Linked DNA regions of Astyanax mexicanus. The protein of the gene in region 2 purifies or fractionates together with the protein of the main gene of each other region. This does not show direct contact. Links are inferred from orthologs where the notes say so. Each region holds a gene or a part of one and is shown on either strand. Other genes may lie near its edges. The genes, in order: znrd2, neurl4 and cep97.

Region 1 (6,230 bases), on a different chromosome or scaffold from region 2:
CTCTTAGATACTTTTAAATGTCTAACAATTGAATCTCCTATAATGAGAGTACCGCCCTTGGTAGTTTTCCTCTGTGCTGGGGGAGGCGAGGGCTGAGGACCTCGAACCATTTTGCGGATACCAAATCCTGCTGAGAAAGTTGCAAATTAAATAAATTATTTTTAAAAAATCATAAATTGTGATTTCCGGATTTTTATTATGTCTGTCACGGTGGACATGCACCAAAGATGAAAATTTCAGACCCCTCAATGATTTATAAGTGAGAGAACTTGCCAAGTCGCAGGGTGTTCATTTTCCTCACTGTATATATGTGTGCCTCTAGGTCAACTCAGTTCCACAGAGTTCCACCATGTACCACCTAACTGCCCACTGATTTTATGCTACAGGTGGTTTCCTGCAGACAACTGGTGATGGTCACGGTCTTAGCAAGTGTGCAGACTCCAAGTCTGTGCATTCTGTAACCCAGTTGTTACTGCACCATACACACACTTATATGGAATTCCCAAGGAAATACAGGATTTACAGGAATTGCAAAGGGGAGGAGTCAACAAAGACGCTCTTTGAACCTTTTGCAAAGCTCTATGGGAAACACTTGAAGAACTGGCTCGTTCTTTTCTCACGTCATGCGTTAGTTTGTTTGTTATTCACTAAGATTGATCACTTTCAGGAAAAACACCCCTGTCCTATTTAGTGTGTCATGGTGACCATGTGTAATTACAGTGAGTCTGGAGAAATCCTGCAGTAGTTCTCTCCAGCTTAAAAAAAAGCAAAACTTTTAAAACTGTTATTTTTAGTTTTCTAGTCAGGAATAGACAACTGATTAGGAATTATTTTAGTTCAAAAGGTGGCAATCATTTAAGATAAAGCAAAGGGATGAAAAGTAATGAAGTATTAGTACTTGGTTACTTTACTCAAGGGTATAGAGTTAGCACGGACACCAATATCCAGTGATTTTTTAAATGGTCCCCGCCAACAATTTGATTTGATAATTTGAACCTCGATCTGATAACGCCTGATGTAATTGTTATTATACGTAACACAAATGTTTTAAAAGGAAAGAAATGTATATTTCTTACCTTAACTACTCTATGTATAATGTCACTGCTCAGTGCATCAAGTACTGTTAGGATCCAGGCTGATCCTGCGAGGGGGAGATGCAGCAAGCGCAGACAGAAAACAATACACAAACTTAAAAGCTATTCTGAACTTCAAAATCACTGTTTCACTCCATTGAGGTGTAATACACTGAATAATATTCCTCTCATGTCTGATCTGACCTCCACGGTGTTGAAACGAGGCTGAGAAAGTTCTGATAGCAGGGCACGCAAATACTTACATAGCCTTGTTTTAACACAGTGGAGCCCAGATCAGACATGAGAGGACTTTTATTCTGTATATTACAGCTCAATGGAGTGGAACACTAATTTTTATGGTTGTAAATTTACTTCTTTAAAAATGTATATAAATTAATCAAGAAAATCTTACAGTGTCCCTTAAAGTTTTTAGTGCAGTGGCACAACAAACAATTAAAATAAGAAAGTGGATAAATGCTACATTAAGAGCAAACATATCAAATCAAACGTGTATCAACAGACTTAAAGTCAAAATTAATTACAGAACTGCTGGAAAATAGAATTAATTACCTTGTTAGGTGATTTGATGGGTAAATGATTACACCTAAAAAACAAACAAAACAAAATTACATTCAGTATTGTAAGTTAAGCATTTTCTTTTTTAAAATAAAGGCTGAACTTTAACTTACCATACATCAGATTTGCATCAGACTTTATGTATCCAGATTGAGTTATCCAAAAACTTATTTGCAAATAATGAACAAACTAAACTAAATGAGGCAAGTTTTGTAAACCTAACTATTAATCACTGTTGCAGCAACCTATACAAGGTGGAGCAGGAAAACGTCTGACGAGCTTTATTATAATTAAGCCCAAACACAACTATTTAAGGTTCTAAGAATAACTAAAGTTGTTTATTTTAATAAAAAAAAGGTGTGTTACTCGAGCAAAATGAGTTAACAGCGTTTATTTCAGCTAGTTAGCCTGGTTAGCTTAGCTAGTTATACTAGCTAATACTAGCATAACTAACTGGTATCGTTAACTGAAGCTTTTTGTCAATTTTGCCTACAAATTGACAACAATTAACATTAAATACACAAAAAAACAATTGATATTATCCAACATACACGTGATAAATCAACTTTAGCATATACAAGATTAAAAATGAGCAATAAATGTAATTAAATGACGCTGATAGCTAGTTAGCTAGTTAACTCACCTGAAGCGCAGATTCAGCAGATGTCAGTTGGTCCTCGCGCTGAGTTTGAATTTCTCCCGCTCCTGTGCCGCTCCGCCGATGCGGCCCGGATCCGCAAAACGACACTGAACTGACACTGAACTCACGTCTGGTATCTGACTCCGTGCCGAAGTCATATGGAAGGCGTGAAATGAGACGGACTGTTATGCGGATTTACCGTCAGTAAAACGGATCTGAACGTGAGTCACAATCATAACCCGAACCCGGAGTGAAGCCGGACCAGATCCACTAAACAGACCTGACTGTAGCGCGGATCTGCCGGAGGTAAAACGGATCCGGATCGGAGTAGTCTGCTATCAGGGCAGTTTAGGCTCTCTGGAACTCCCCGTTCCACCCCTAACATCCAGAGATTAATTTCACTCTGATTAGCCACACAGACGCGCGTCTAAACACATCATAAACACTCTATAGGCTACACGTTCACACAGATACAACACCCAACCTCCATACACACAACCGCTCTAACAACACACGTTAGCTTTAGCACGCAGGCTAACCGTGCCGATACTGAAACCAGACGCGAACAGTGGCTAAGTTTAGGATTTCTACTACTCTTACAGAACTGAAGTAAAATAAAAAACCGTATCCAACTCAGAAAATAGTTTAAATAAATGTTCTAAGTGTTTCTAAAGCTGTAAAAGCACCTGCGTTCAGCGCCATGCTCGCCCTCCTGCAGCAAGATGCACCGGCATAGAGCGCAGCTCAGCCAGAGAGAGCGCCGCCTGTAGGACCGGTGCAGGGAGCGATACTGCAACAGTATACGGACACTTGTCACTACCCGATCTGTGCCCCCTGCCCGATTTGTGCCATGCAGAATTTCAGTGAGGGATTAACTGGTGTTAGTTGTTTGACGCATGCAGAACCAGGTACAGGCAGCTGTTATTTATAATACTTTGCTGTGTATTTTAAGAATAAAATTATGTTTTTTTTACACATAAATTCTTTGTTATCTTGAGAAATACTACAACTGGTCAAAGACCACCGCCCCAAGGTAAGCTAATTAAATTTCTAAAATGTCTTATACATCTGTTAATACTAAATTGACAAAGCATAAAATGCACAGTTTATATATCAACTGCTCAAGGACAAAGAAAATTATTTTCTGGTTGATGTTTGTATTTTGTTTGTAATTTAAATTGTAATTTAAATCTAGATTACAGAAAGATAAACTAATAAAATGTGAAGTAGTTTACAGACTTGGTATATGTAAAAATAAATAAATAAATAAAAACACCACAGGCTTATACATTTTAACAAATTCGAATTATAATAAGTTTAAACACCCATCAGTCTATCTAGAACAGGCATGTCAAACTCAGTTTGGCTCTGGGGCCGGATCCAGACTTTCTGTTCTCAGGTGGGCCGGATCAGTAAAAGAATGTCGACTTTCTGTTCTCAGGTGGGCCGGATCAGTAAAAGAATGTCAACTCCAAATATTTAGCTTTGTTTTTCAGTACTATGCTTTATTATTCAGCCTACATTTTTAGCCTACCCTACATATTATAATCATGGATGAAAAGGGATCTTTTCTAAGCACAACACATTTATTCTCTCTCTCTCTCTCTCTCTCTCTCTCTCTCTCTCTCTCTCTCTCTCTCTCTCTCTCTCTCTCTCTCTCTCTCTCTCTCTCTCTCTCTCTCTCTCTCTCTCTCTCTCTCTCTCTCTCTCTCTCTCTCTCTCTCTCTCTCTCTCTCTCTCTCTCTCTCTCTCTCTCTATATCTCTCACTGCATTCCTGCAGTCTACTTGCTGCTGTGGTGAAGCAAGATTGCCGTGTCTGTGCTGCATGCGGGACATTTACTGCCCTCTAGCGACCGGAGAGAGCATTTAATTTGTATTCATTTAAAAAAAATCACAACAAAATCACGAGCTAGAAACTCGCTTCTTTTTTTGACATACTCAGAAATTTATGCCGCGGGCCGTATGTTTGACATGCCTGATCTAGAATTTAGAAAACGGAAGATCTCACAACGCCGAAAACTGTTGACAGCCGTGGCTACCCGGGCTGCGTCCAGAAACTTTTGCTACTCCCAGGCATTTTGGCTGCTATATATATATATATATATATATATATATATATATATATATATATATATATATATATATATATATATAATTTTACAAATATGGGATCATTAATATAGTATAGTATAGTATAGTTCTACTGAGCATACAGCTTATCTAAACAAAAAAATATATTAGTGCTTTACTGGCTGTATAATTAGATAAGGAACCTAGTTATTTAATGTTTGTATTTGTGCATTCCCTTCTCCATTCCCACGTGCTTTGTGGGCGTGGATGCAGTGATGTCATTGGAAAATCCTTAAAAGTCTTCCGGAGTAGGATGCACTGATGTACCCTCCGTTGGAGGCCTACTACAGGTGGATTTTAAGCGGCTTATTTCGTCTTCTACGGTATTCGGACAGGCGGCAAGATGGCGTCACGAAATCAGTTTCCGGGTCACGGAGGAGAGTAGGAGGATCGGTAGGAAATGGAGACACTTTTGGGGTTTCTGGACGCAGCCCCGATCTGTGCCCCCTGCTCAGTTTGCAGTGCGCATGCACGGCACAAATCTGGCAGGGAATACAGATTGGGTAGTGACACAGCCATCGCAGCCTTCCCATCCTTCGAAGGACACACCATCGAAGACCGCATCCTTCAAAGGATGTAGCCCCTGAACTGGGACACACCTAAAGCCACTACCCGATCTGTGCCGTGCCATGTGCACGCATGCGCACTGCAAAATGAGCATGGGCACAGATCTGGTAGGAAATGCCAAGTTGTACTTCCGTCCACACTGTTGCAAACAGCATGTAAATATGGTGTCAAAATAAAGGATTTTAAATTTTACAGAGCTGTGAAGAGTACATTTTAAATTGAGCAAATGAATGAGCAAGGAAGTGGTGTGTGTGTGTGTGTGTGTGTGAGTGTGTTGAGAGGGATGGGGGTTTGCTCTCATGCTCTCTCTGAGAGTAAAATAAACTGATATTTTGATGAATGTGTTATACCTCATTTTTAATGGTTAGTAGCATATTGATACAGGACCACATTTAGAGACATGGTATTTGGTTCCCATTTCTAAACATGAATCACAGAGTTTTGGCAAATTTATGAGCTTGCTGATAAAATGTACCATGCAGAATTTTACAACTGGTCAAAGACCACCCCCCCATAAGACGGGTATAACCCAAACAGGTTTGCTATAATGGTAAACTAATTAAATTTCTAAAATGTCTTATACACCCGTTAATACTAAATTGATAATGTGTAAAATGCAGTTTCTACATCAACTGCTCAAGGACAAAGAAAAATATTTTCTGGTTGATGTTTGTAATTTATCCCCTAGTCTATCTAGATTACAGAAAAATAAACTGCTAGTTAGATAAGGCCTATGCGAATAAATGCGTTCTGGCTCTATTCATTTATTTATTTCTTTTTATTTTTTTATTATTTCATTCATTTATACATGGCAAGCATTATAAATTGACACTTGAGTATGTAGATGTTAATGTTATCTCTGAAGGTGTAATAAAATGTGAAGTAATTTACAGACTTGCTATATGTAAAAAAGATCAAAATAAAAACACCACAGGCTTCACATTTTCACCTAGCCATTTTCTTAACAAATAAACAACATATCTGAAGTCTAAGAATAAAAGAATAAAAGTAAGAATAAAATTATGTATATATTTTTTATACATAAATTCTTTGTTATCTTCAGAAATACTACAACTGGTCAAATACCACCCCCCCATGGTAAGCTAATTTCTAAAATGTCTTATACATCTGTTAATACTAAATTGACAAAGCATAAAATGCACAGTTTATATTTCAACTGCTCAAGGACAAAGAACATTATTTTCTGGTTGATGTTTGTATTTTGTTTGTAATTTAAATTGTA
Region 2 (6,230 bases):
ACACCTTTCTCAGAACAAATAAATGCACTTGGGGCGGTTGGGAGACCCATCCAATATGGCGGCCACGCTGACACGCCATGAGGCAGGCTATGAGGCGTCTATACATATGATGTCTATGAGCCAGAGTTCAATAATTTAATATAAATGTTAAGTTACGTTAACACTGTTTGTCAGATTTAATAAAAAGGTATTATTTCAAGGGAACTTACTAACTAGTTTTTATTAATTAAAAAACTAAATTTATTTATTTAATAAATTTCAGATATTCAGATAGTCCTCTTTTCAAATCAGGTAAACAATAACAGTGATGTCTGTATGCCTGTCTTTGTCAAAGAGCCTAATACAAAGTATTTCAGCATGAAAGCACGTATTTGTATTGTGTGATAGTTTACTGTATCATTACTACATCTCTGCTGTTTGTAACAAACTAAACCGTGTGAAAATCGAGTGGAAATTGGGAAAGTTGTTATTATTATAGTTTTATTAAACACCTTTTTCAGTACAAATAAATGCACTTGGGGCGGATGGGAGACTAAATGTAAGCTCCAATAGGGGACGTACCTGGCCTCTCTTACCTGCTTGGGCAACATCAACAGCAGCAGCAGTAAGCAAAGTAACCAAAATCGACTGTGGAAGAACATAAAGAGAGTTGGTGGAATATATCTGTCTTGTGCATATATACTCCACCCATGTGACGTCAAACCATCTGCATCTTAGCGCTACAGAGGTACACCCCTCGGCCCAATCAGCTCTCCCTTCTTTCCCACCCCTAAACCCATTGGCACCTCCTAAACTACTACTCTCATTTTTTTAAATATTTTTTTTTAGGTTTGAGCTGAGGGTGGAGTGATTTAAAATCAGGGGGTTTAGTTTCCACTTCATCAAAAAGGATGCACAATCCCCACAGGCTAACGAACACTACAAATCACACAGTTGAGCTGCTTCTGAATGCTGCTCAGCAACTGGTTTGTGCAAAAAGAAGGATTCCTTTTAATAAAAAGATCAAAATTCAGTGAAAATAATAGAAATGTGGGCTTTTACAGGGCTTTTATTTTTTAATAACACACAAGAATGTCTCAATGTTAACTGGCCTGTGCAAACAAGATGATTCAATTTAATTACAGTCTTAGAATAAAATAAAATAAAATAAAATAAAGAATGTGACCATTGTAAGTGATTTCATTTTGAAATGCTTCAAGGGCATTGTGTGTTTTATAACGAAGATTTACAACCTTTGTTGACCTTTTTTTAAAATGAATATTAAGCATTATTTCTAAAGATATACAGTATTCATTTCAGTTCACAGTCGCCTCTCTGTGACAACATTTGGCAGCACACCCTCCCTGCCAGCGCTGGTTCTCTGTTGTAAACACGCCCCTTACCCTAGTGATGGGAATTCCAGCTCTTTTTAGAGAGTCTGTTCTTTTGGCTCGGCTCACTAAAAAGAGCTGACTCTTTCAGCTCCACTTTTTTTGTTGCCTTTTCTAATTCATTGTGTTTTCTTTCTTTTTAAGACTATATTAAAGCTGTACAGGAACACGTGGAATTATGTAATAAAAACTGTTAAACAAACCATAATATGTTTTATACTTTAGATTATTCTAAGTAGCACATTAATCTTTGAGGACAGATCTGCACACTCTTGGTATTTTTATCTCAGTGTGGTAGAGGTGAGGTAGAGTCACCTGGAATAGTTTTCTCAGCATCTTGAAGTTCCTGGAGGTGCTGAACAATAGTTGCTGCATCCCAAACCACCTCAGTTGATCAGGCTTTGGATCTACAACCAAATAACTATAAAACTGAAACATAGCACAACAAATAAGAACATTTGTGTTTAGTTAGCTTATGTTTAGTATTTTAGACAATCTCAATAACCAATGCTTAAATAACTGTGGCTCCATATACCCTGTGTGGACTGCAGTAGGTGAATAAAAATATTAGCTATATATTTCCTTAACTATGATTAATTACAAATGTGTTGTCTTTAAAGGTGTGAAAATATTAACATTAATTACTCGGTAGGAAGAAGTATAGATACTTGGGTTTAAAATACTTCTGTAGAATGTGGAGCCTCAACCCAAGCTTTTTACTCAAGTTCAAATGTAAAAGTTCTGGTTTCAAAACTACTTAAAATATAATGTAAAAAAGCTGAAAAACAAGCTAAAACAAAATAGGAGTAACAAGGCTATTTTTAAAATGTAAGGAGTAGAAAGTTCAGATAATTGAGTGAAAATGTAAGGAGTAGAAGTAAAAAGTGAAGTATAGATAAGGTAATAAGAAGGTATTTACACTTCATTACTTGACATCTTTTATGATTAATGACAAATTTGTTGACTGTAAAAGGCTTTATGATGGCATGGACAGTATTTTAGCCAGTCATGCTTAATGACCAATCAGTGCTTTAATAACTCTGATTTAGTGACTTCATAAACACAGTGTGGAATTCTGCAGTAGGTGAAGAAAAAAGTATTTATTTTACAAACTATGATTAATTTCGAATTTTGTTGTCTTTAGAAGGGTATAATTGCTTTATTGTGCTATTCTATTAACAATATGTCAGTGGTATTTATATGGTCTTAAAATGACAATAATATCGTTTATCGCAATATTTTCTGATATATCGTGAGAGACCTAATCGGTGCAGAATCAGAAGTCGATTCCCCCGTGGTTCAATTCAAAGAGCCGGTTCTTAGAGCCGGATCGTTCGCGACCGCCCCATCAGTACTGGGCCGCCCCAGCGCGATCATGGCGGCGGAGCTGCATCCGCGCAGCGGGAAGCTCATCGGTCTGTCCAACTCGAACCGGACCGCGCAGCGGAACCAGCCCGTGCAGGAGTTTAACCACGGCCTGGTGCTCAGCCGGGAGCCGCTGCGGGACCGGGACGTCTTCACAGTTCGGATTGACAAGAAGGTAAATCGCTGTGCGGGAGAGAAAAACGGGGCGGCTGGAGTTGGCTGCTTAGCTCTAGCGGAGTTGTCCGGTCCACCTTAAATATTGCAGTAGTCGCAGCCCGGCGCCAGCGCTGTTGCTAGGCTGTAAGCAGTGCGAAATTTAAGGTGGAACGGAAAATTGGTATTTGGTCACCGATGAGCAGCGAAATGTGCTTAGTTGATGATGCGCTTTAACACGCATATGATTGATTTGTGCTCGAAAATTCAGATATTACAGCTGCATTTCTTATTTCAGTGCTTTATTTTAAGGTAAAGAGGTTATATTATCATGTATTAGCTATGTTAGTTAGCTAGCTAACTTGCTAGCTATCTGTTAGCTGCTGCTGCTCGATCAGATAGCTAGCTTAGCTTAGCTTAGCTAGATCTAGCACAGCCTAATTAGTTAGCAGGCTGGGTTAGCTAGCTAACTAACTAGTTAATTAACCTTTACTAGTTAACAATTTAGCTGATGAATACAATATTTAAAGCTTATTTACATACTCGGTTATTGATAAATACACACTTTTTAAAGTAACAGGAGATTAACTGGCTGTCCTTACTCTATGTTTATGTCTATTTTAGCTGGATGCTAAAAAGCTAGGCTACGCTAAGCTAAGCTAAGTAGCTATCTAACGCTAACAGTCTCACTGACAGCCGAGCAGTGGCAGCTTATAAATAATAAACACAGAATAACAGCTCTCGGATCTGGGTAATACTGTACATTAAGGCTCACAAAAAATAATAGGAAAATCACGCTAATAAACACTGTTACGTGGTTCAGTAATGCCTCAGCTATTTATTAACTGACATTAATTAAGACATAAGACAGGATTCAGGATTCAAACAGTTTATTGCCACAGTAAGGAAACAAATTTCCTTGTACAATAAAATTCTTTCTTTGCTTTTCCCCAAGTATACCTCATAAATAGAAAAATGAAAAATACAATAAAAGAAATAATATACTAACTAAATATTCACAAATTTTAAATTGTTGTTAAATTTACATCAATAATTTTATACTGTATTTTACAGACACGGATATATATAAGGTGCAATATCAATAAAAGTCTATTTTTATACATAAGGTGCACGGGATTATAAGGCGCATTGTATGTGACACTAGTAAGGAACAAGGGTTTCACCATGTTTCCCTTCTAAATTCACATAATTAAACAAGTGCTGGGTGCTAATCTACATAGATGTCTCTCCTGAAACATCTCCTGTTTATTTGTGTGAGTTAAGCACTAACATTTATTTACAGTAAGCTATTTTAGCATTAAAATATGTTAGTGGCACTTAGCGCTAGTAAATGCCACCTGAGAACGCTACACTGAGGAACCCTGAGCGTTTTGGAAACCCAGGGCGCTATCAGCCAGCGGGTCGTCCCGCGTAGCTAGTAGCTGTAACACGGTAAACACGCAAACTACAGTCCAATATACTTGGCTGCTAATGCAAATGCTGCTCCAGCCTTGGTGCTGGAGAAACTTTGCTCAAGACGTACCCTTTTATAATGCTATACTTCAGCAGAGTGACTTTACTGCTCCTTAATACCTGACTGGTAAAATTCATACATAAGGAGCACCGGATTAGAAGGCTCACTGTCAATTTTGGGGAAAATTAAAGGATTTTAGGTGCATCTATAGTTGGAAAACTATGGTACAAGGAAGAACATTACTATCTACAGCAGTGAGATGTGACAAAAGTGCAAAAGGTTCAGTAGAGCAATTGTAAACATTGTTACAGTGAAGTGTAGAGAGTGAGGTGCAGGGTTATTTTGTCTGAAGTAGGTTCAAGAATCCGATGGCAGTGGGGAAGAACCTGCAGGCTTGTATGTTACAAAATGTTAATGCTTTAAAATGCTGTAAATAATATTGAATCTTAACTGGAGGACTAAACTAGGACTGGAGTATTTTCTGGATGCAGCACAATGTTATTGTCTCGTATGATGAGTAAGCTAGCATTAAGAAAGTGGATTTATTTTATTTTTATGGATTTTAAACTCTTTCAAAGCGCTCAGTTAATGGCTTCCTGTAAACTGCCAGGTCCTGGATATTATGAGTAAATGCACAAAATCAAATTGCAAAAGTTTAAAACTAACATTTATGGGCATTACATCATAGATATACAGATCCTATTCTGGTCATTATGATAGTATGATACACTGGTTGAACATCTAAGCTTAATTTGAACTAGTTCTCCTTGAAATAATTGAAAGTCTGTACAATCCAAGCTGTTATAAAAATCACGTCTAAACATCTCAAATGTCCATTCAAGATAACTGTGATGCAATTTTCAGCATGAAGCACTAAGAATACATTTAAACAGCAGATGTTTATTTAGGGCTGTTTACACTGTTTTTAGTGTGACCTCTATCTGACATTTGTCTGAACAGTCTTTTCTGTGCTAAAGAACAGCGCTTCACATGAAGTTTCAGTTTCATCTTCTCCAGCGTTACAAGGCAAAGTTCAGCCTGCAGCTGGTTTTATAACCAGGAATACAAGCTCTTTGTGGAAAAAAGGGTTGCTGCTATTTAGCTAAGGATACTGCTTTAGTTTGTGTTCTGTACTTTTTATAAGCTCTTTATTGTCCTTTGACACTACAGCAATAACAGTTTAACTAGAAACACAGGTCACTTGCTTTTATTATATCACCAATGAAACCTTCACTCTGACACTTTTGTGCATTTTCCTCATTTTCTTGCATAATTTTTCACTTTTCTCCAATGAATTTTGTAAACTCTTCTAATAAATGCATGTAACTGCTTGTTGTTTCACCAATTGTTGACACAGATGTTCAGATGCACATATAAATATATTGCCTGGTCCAGTTGATTTGAGAATTGAGAGTTTCCAGTCTCTTAAAAGCCTTTTACCTGATATAAAAGTTGCATGAATCTGAATGAATCTGGCTGTGACATTGCTGGAAATCCGACATATATCAGATTTCAACTGCATATTAAAGTTGCCCAAATCAGGATTGAAAATATATAGTTTCATGTTTACATTAAGACATATATATTTTTTACCTGCTGTGTGAACATAGCCTAAGGGTTTGTCTCAGAGCATCCTAGTCTTTTTGTGTTCCTCAAAGAGAGAGAATTCTGAGAATGAGAATTATGACAGCTCCTCAGTTTAAAGTCTTCACTGAGCGCTGTCGGTTTACAGAGCTTGGCCTTCTCTTTTTAATACTCTACCTGGTTGATTTTAAATAGAATGGGAGAGACAGTGAGTCTGCTGTAGACTGCAGGGTACAGTATTCTACAGTTGCGGTTATGTAAGCAGCTCAGAGAGCTCACTCTGA
Region 3 (6,230 bases), on a different chromosome or scaffold from region 2:
TACTGTAAACAAGGCAAAGTATTGCAATATTTTTCAAATCATATTTTAGGAAAAATGTCTTTAAATAAATGTCTTAAAAAAAAACACCATTAGAAACATTCAGAAAAGTGAGATCTAATGGCAGAATTGCTAGAATCTAGTGTGCAGGGTTTAAATACAACACATTTTAAACCACTGAACTGAAACTTTCCATGTACACTAATAATTAAAAATCAATACTGGGATTTTAATAATCCATATAGTATTTCAAACCCTAATATCACAATACACCTCTAACAGATTTATACAATCAGTCCCCACTGAAAACAGAAACTTACAAAAATGTTTGGGAGTTCATGTAAACATCAAGAAAGCATGTACATTATCATATCATTGCTGTCATGTAAAATCATTGTATCTCCAAGACAATTACTTTATAGGAGAAAGAAAAAGATCAAGACAATATAGAAATACTTTATTCCAAGTCATTTGGAGTGTTTCTATTTAGACACAAGGTAAAAAAAAAAACTGTCAAAACGGGAAAACAAAAAAGGAGACTTTTGACTATGTATATCAACAGCAGCAACAAACATAGTTTTTTATTTTTATTAATACAATATTGCAAATATAAGTCTAGTGTAGGGGTGTGCCATCTTGTACCGTACGCAATAATATCACCAACATTTTTGAATATTATAAAGAATATTATACCATGAAATATCCACCCACTAATCACCCACTAGCATGAAGTGCTGTAAGATTTTCGGTGAAAACACTGCGCTGACTTTAGACTTGATAAAACACAGTGGATCAACACCAGCAGATGACATGTCTCTCCAAACCATCACTGATTGTAGAAACTTCACACTAGAGCTCAAGCAGCTTGAACTGTGTTTCTCTCCACTCTTCCTCCAGATTCTGCTTCCTTGATTTCCAAATGTAATGCAATGCAATGCAATGCAATTTACTGACGGTCAGTGATGTTTGGAGAGTCATGTATTTTGCTGGTGTTGGTCCACTGTGTTATATCAAGTCCAAAGTCAGTGAAGTGTTTTCCCAAAAAATCTTACAGCACTTTGTTAACAACTTTTATGGAGATACGGATTTCATTTTCCAGCAGGGTTTTATTTGGATTTTCAGTGACTGTAAGCCATAATCGTCACCAATAAATGAAATAAACGCTTAAAACAGAACACTCTGTGTGTAATACATCTACAGTTGTGGTCAAAAGTTTACATACACTTGTAAAAAAACATAATGTTATGGCTGTCTTGAGTTTTCAATAAGTTCTACAACTCTTATTTTTCTGTGATAGAGTGATCGGAACACATACATGTTTGTCACAAAAAACAGTCATAAAATTTGGTTCTTTCATAAATTTATTATGGGTCTGCTGAAAATGTCACCAAATCTGCTGGGTCAAAAATATACATACAGCAACAAAAATTGTCAATTTTGGTGATGTAGCGAGTTGTGTCAATCAAATTAGCTTCATGTCATGGCCTCTTCACTTCTTGTAAGTGATTCTGATTGACTACAGCTGTTGACTTCTCATGAGCCCATTTAAATAGGGCTCATTTGACCCAGTGATTAGACTCAGCTACAAAAGCTACAATGGGAAAGTCAAAGGAACTCAGTGTGGATCTGAAAAAGCGAATTATTGACTTGAACAAGTCAGGGAAGTCACTTGGAGCCATTTCAAAGCAGCTACAGGTCCCAAGAGCAACTGTGCAGACAATTATACGCAAGTATAAAGTGCATGGAACAGTTGTGTCACTGCCACGATCAGGAAGAAAACGCAAGCTATCACATGCTGCCGAGAGGAGATTGGTCAGGATGGTCAAGAGTCAACCAAGAATCACCAAGAAGCAGGTCTGCAAGGATTTGGAAGCTGATGGAACACAGGTGTCAGTCTCCACAGTCAAGTGTGTTTTACATCGCCATGGACTGAGAGGCTGCCGTGCAAGAAAGAAGCCCTTGCTCCAGAAAAGGCACCTTAAGACTCGGCTGAAGTTTGCTGCTGATCACATGGACAAAGATAAAACCTTCTGGAGGAAAGTTCTCTGGTCAGACGAAACAAAAATTGAGCTGTTTGGCCACAACACCCAGCGATATGTTTGGAGGAGAAAAGGTGAGGCCTTTAATCCCAGGAACACCATGCCTACTGTCAAGCATGGTGGTGGTAGTATTATGCTCTGGGGATGTTTTGCTGCCAGTGGAACTGGTTCTTTGCAGAAAGTAAATGGGATAATGAAGAAGGAGGATTACCTCCAAATTCTGCAGGAAAACTTAAAACCATCAGCCCGAAGGTTGGGTCTTGGGCGCAGTTGGGTGTTCCAACAAGACAATGACCCAAAACACACATCAAAAGTGGTAAAGGAATGGCTAAACCAGGCTAGAATTAAGGTTTTAGAATGGCCTTCCCAAAGTCCTGACTTAAACCCCATTGAGAACATGTGGACAGTGCTAAAGAAACGGGTTCATGCAAGAAAACCATCACATTTAGCTGAACTGCACCAATTCTGTCAAGAAGAGTGGTCAAACATTCGACCTGAAGCTTGCCAGGAGCTTGTGGATGGCTACCAAAAGCGCCTAGTTGCCGTGAAAATGGCCAAGGGACATGTAACCAAATACTAATGTTGCTGTATGTATATTTTTGACCCAGCAGATTTGGTGACATTTTCAGCAGACCCATAATAAATTTATGAAAGAACCAAATTTTATGACTGTTTTTTGTGACAAACATGTATGTGTTCCGATCACTCTATCACAGAAAAATAAGAGTTGTAGAACTTATTGAAAACTCAAGACAGCCATAACATTATGTTTTTTTACAAGTGTATGTAAACTTTTGACCACAACTGTATATAACATATACATTTCCTATTTTGAACTTAATTACTGAAATGACTTCTGACCTTCAGCAGAATTACAGAACCTTAAACCTACAAACACCTTAAAATGCCTTTACAGTGTTTCCAGTAGAAGATATACTCGATACAAACTATAACTTACATACCTACAGATATGAACTGAACAGGTTACATAAAGCGAATAAAGCTCTGACAGATTAATCCCTCGCTTCTAGCTAACAGCAGTAACTGCTAACACGAACAATACAGCTGCGTTACCGACAGTACACACACACAGCTTGTCAACACGAACCTAACGATAACAGACACTCAGGCTAAGCTAGCGCAGCAGTATAACTACTCAATACTAGAGGTGACTAACTCAGGTCCGGTTGGTAAAAATCCACCCCAGGGTTTTGTACAAACTGCCTGTGCCTGTGTGTAGCTCAACTGCAGAAGAGCCATCCAGGCCGTTGGTACAAAATCCTGGGATGGAATTTTACTTTCCGGACCTGGGTTAGCCATATTTCTTTACTTTCTGGATCTGGGTTAGCAACCTCTACTCAATACCAGAAATGCGTCTATCCTTATATCACAGCACTGCCTCAGGTATCATTAATAAACCAAAATATCATAAACACGCCGGTTACAAATCCCAGCACAGCTCCGTACCTTCATAATTAGTCATTTGTGTGACCGGATCAGATACGATAGCTCGCCTCTCCGTCGCCGCCATGCTTCCCGCTTGAGTCGTCCACCGCCAGGCAACCGACGGCAAATCTGATTGGTTGATTTAATTAAAATTTAAAAATATTTTTGCACATTTTTGCGAGACTCTGCTTCAAAATACGATTCCAGCTGTGTGGTCCTTTTGCGTAAATATGACGTTTTCACCAAGTCGGTATCTTTATAAACCGGATACCCACAATTCCTTTTCCTCTTCCCTGTCGGATTCGCCGCCATGAAGTAAGCGCAGTCCCGAATAATCCGTAAACATCTACCTCTAAATCCATTAAATATCCGTGTTTTTTTGGTCCGGGGGTGAATTAAAAGTATGTTATTTAGATATTCTTGTGATATTTGTGACTTGCAGGGTCGACTTGTGCAGTTTCAGCGGGTACAAAATCTATCCCGGCCATGGCCGGCGATATGCCAGAATCGACGGAAAGGTAACGCTTAGCTACACTGAACCGAACACGCCACAGAGTTGTTATTCATTTCACACTTATTTATACGTGTTTTATAATGTAATGTAGCTTAATGTAATCAAACATTGTGTTCTCATTGGTTGCAGTGTGCTGTTTGAAATCTGACTAAACTAGTGGTAGTTTATTTAGTTGGTGGCTAACTAGCTTAGCTAGCTTGCTTCAACCCGGCCTGTGGACGCCACGGGCAGCTTCTGTACAGGTCAACTTAGCTAATGCGCTGTGTAATGGCTGTTTGGCCAAAACTAACTTAAGTTACCGTTTTTGTTTGGGTGTAACGAGACTACTATGGTGGCTTTGCTGTACCAGTAGGGTATTTAGCTAGCTAGCTGGCTAACCAGGTCCCGGTGCTTTTGGCTGGGTTTCTGAACTAACTAACTAACTTAACTGACTGCCTTTTAAGATGTTTGTAGAAATGTTGACAAGTCAGCTCCACTTGTAACGTGGCTAGTTAATAGTGTGCAGTGTATAATTATTATTTTAACTGGGACCCAGACATGTGTATCTAACCTAGTTAGCTAAGTAACTACAAACCCACTCAGAGCCCATGCCTATCTAGAACCCTCCTAGCCTTGCCCATGTCCAGGGTTCATACAGGCATGAAAAACCTGGAATAGTCCTGGAATTTGAAAACAGGAATTTCTAGGCCTAACTACGTTTTTTTTGGATAAATAAAATACCCTTAAGTTTTGTAAAAGTCATTTTGGGTACAATTCTGTGTTTATTGATGGAGATAATTGAGCTAATATGCATCAGCTCAGAATTAATTTTGTAATTTAGTCCTACATAATGAAGCTCAGGATCTGACACACATTTTATTATTAAAATTGTCAGCATTTATTAGGTATATTTTAGGCCTACTATAATCAATTTGCCTTGTCTTGAAGATGCAGAAAAGTCATGGTACATAAGACAAATATTGTATATAGTGTAGGTAACACATGCACAGTTCCTTTAGGCAGCACGAATCGATGGGTATCATGCGAGTCCCACATGAGTAGTTTTGTTGGCCGAGTATATATTCAGGATAAGGGTCTACCCACTGGTAATATATTTACTTTTTGCTAGACACCCTGACTGGGTTGCACTTGTTTTGCGCAAGTTATTTTCTTTAATTTGTTTGTAAAGTCTCTACCAAGTCTTGTTACTGCTAGTTGGCTTTTTACTATCCTTTCATTAATATGGTTGCACCACAAATGCATGTCATATCTTAACTAGTAACAACTAATAACTTGTGCGCTGAGTAATAATTGTCACTTTTACATGAAGGAAAAAACTGACAATCTACGTGTTGCCATGGAAATGTGGTTGATCATGACGGATGTTTTATCGATGACCGTTTTAAACAGCCTTAACAGCATTACTCTGTTAGTGCTAGTGTGGATCGTGTGGTCATGCCTCTTCAGCCTTGGGGCCATTTGGACCCCAGCAATTCAAACCAGCCAAAAATGATTTTAACTAATTTTGTTGGTAAAATCTGTGCCACGGGATTAGTGGTTCTTGCATTACAACATCACTACATAGTGTTGTTGGCTTAGGTCATACTAATCTCACTATTTCCTCAAATGTGTGAAACATTTTATTTCTTATAGCAAAAATAGCTAAAACAGCCTGGGGTCAAACTGGCCACTCAAATAACTAATTTTGTATGGTGCATAAATATGTACAGGACTTCGAAATTGTAAAAGTATTAACTTTACTTACGTGCACTGAGATCTGTTGGCTCATCACAACAAGAGGAGCCAAATCTTTCAGCTCATCTTTTACCTACTTTGTAGAGGTGTGCCAAAAAATCGATTCACATAAGAATCTTGATTCTCATTTACTACGATTCAGAATCGATTTAAAATGTCCCAAAATCGATTCTAAGGTCCAATCCCATTTCTTCCCTTGGCCCTACCCCTCACTGTAAGTTCACACTGCAGCGGCACGAAGCGTTTTTCGCTCCGCCTCCCACTGCCCAAAGCGACAAGTGGCCGCTGCAGTTTGAACTTACCGTCAGACCCACACAGAGCGTAGGTGTATGAGAATCACCGGTAAGATGGCAGAACAAGCATTATATTACCTTAGATTAACGTGTAGTTTTAATGTTTTATGGCAGAATGCTTCATAACAAGCATAAAAAAGATCGCTAGTAGTTAGTTTCCGTTTCTGTTAGCTAGCTAACTAGCTAACTTTCCAGTTCCACCTTAAA

What was found.
Region 1: the proteins of neurl4 (region 2) and znrd2 purify together in Homo sapiens (co-immunoprecipitation; 4 studies listed by BioGRID and IntAct, with this or other methods). This does not show direct contact. The link is inferred for Astyanax mexicanus from reciprocal best matches to the Homo sapiens genes NEURL4 and ZNRD2.
Region 3: the proteins of neurl4 (region 2) and cep97 purify together in Homo sapiens (affinity purification with western blotting; 4 studies listed by BioGRID and IntAct, with this or other methods). This does not show direct contact. The link is inferred for Astyanax mexicanus from reciprocal best matches to the Homo sapiens genes NEURL4 and CEP97.

The regions. Positions count from the first base shown.
Region 1 is NC_064427.1:12,650,560-12,656,789, reverse strand, and holds the start of znrd2 (protein ZNRD2), read right to left. Parts: upstream 3,084-6,230; 5' UTR 2,992-3,083; coding exon 2,976-2,991; intron 2,955-2,975; exon of another isoform or gene 2,293-2,954; intron 1,678-2,292; exon of another isoform or gene 1,644-1,677; intron 1,142-1,643; exon of another isoform or gene 1,077-1,141; intron 131-1,076; exon of another isoform or gene 1-130. UniProt on the Homo sapiens protein: Might play a role in mitosis. Antigenic molecule. Could be a centromere-associated protein. May induce anti-centromere antibodies.
Region 2 is NC_064422.1:43,802,393-43,808,622, forward strand, and holds the start of neurl4 (neuralized-like protein 4), read left to right. Parts: upstream 1-2,718; 5' UTR 2,719-2,745; coding exon 2,746-2,910; intron 2,911-6,230. UniProt on the Homo sapiens protein: Promotes CCP110 ubiquitination and proteasome-dependent degradation. By counteracting accumulation of CP110, maintains normal centriolar homeostasis and preventing formation of ectopic microtubular organizing centers.
Region 3 is NC_064428.1:19,875,134-19,881,363, forward strand, and holds the start of cep97 (centrosomal protein of 97 kDa), read right to left. Parts: upstream 3,743-6,230; 5' UTR 3,568-3,742; coding exon 3,504-3,567; intron 1-3,503. Other genes in the region: rpl24 (60S ribosomal protein L24), read left to right, coding at 3,793-3,797, 3,925-4,000. UniProt on the Homo sapiens protein: Acts as a key negative regulator of ciliogenesis in collaboration with CCP110 by capping the mother centriole thereby preventing cilia formation. Required for recruitment of CCP110 to the centrosome.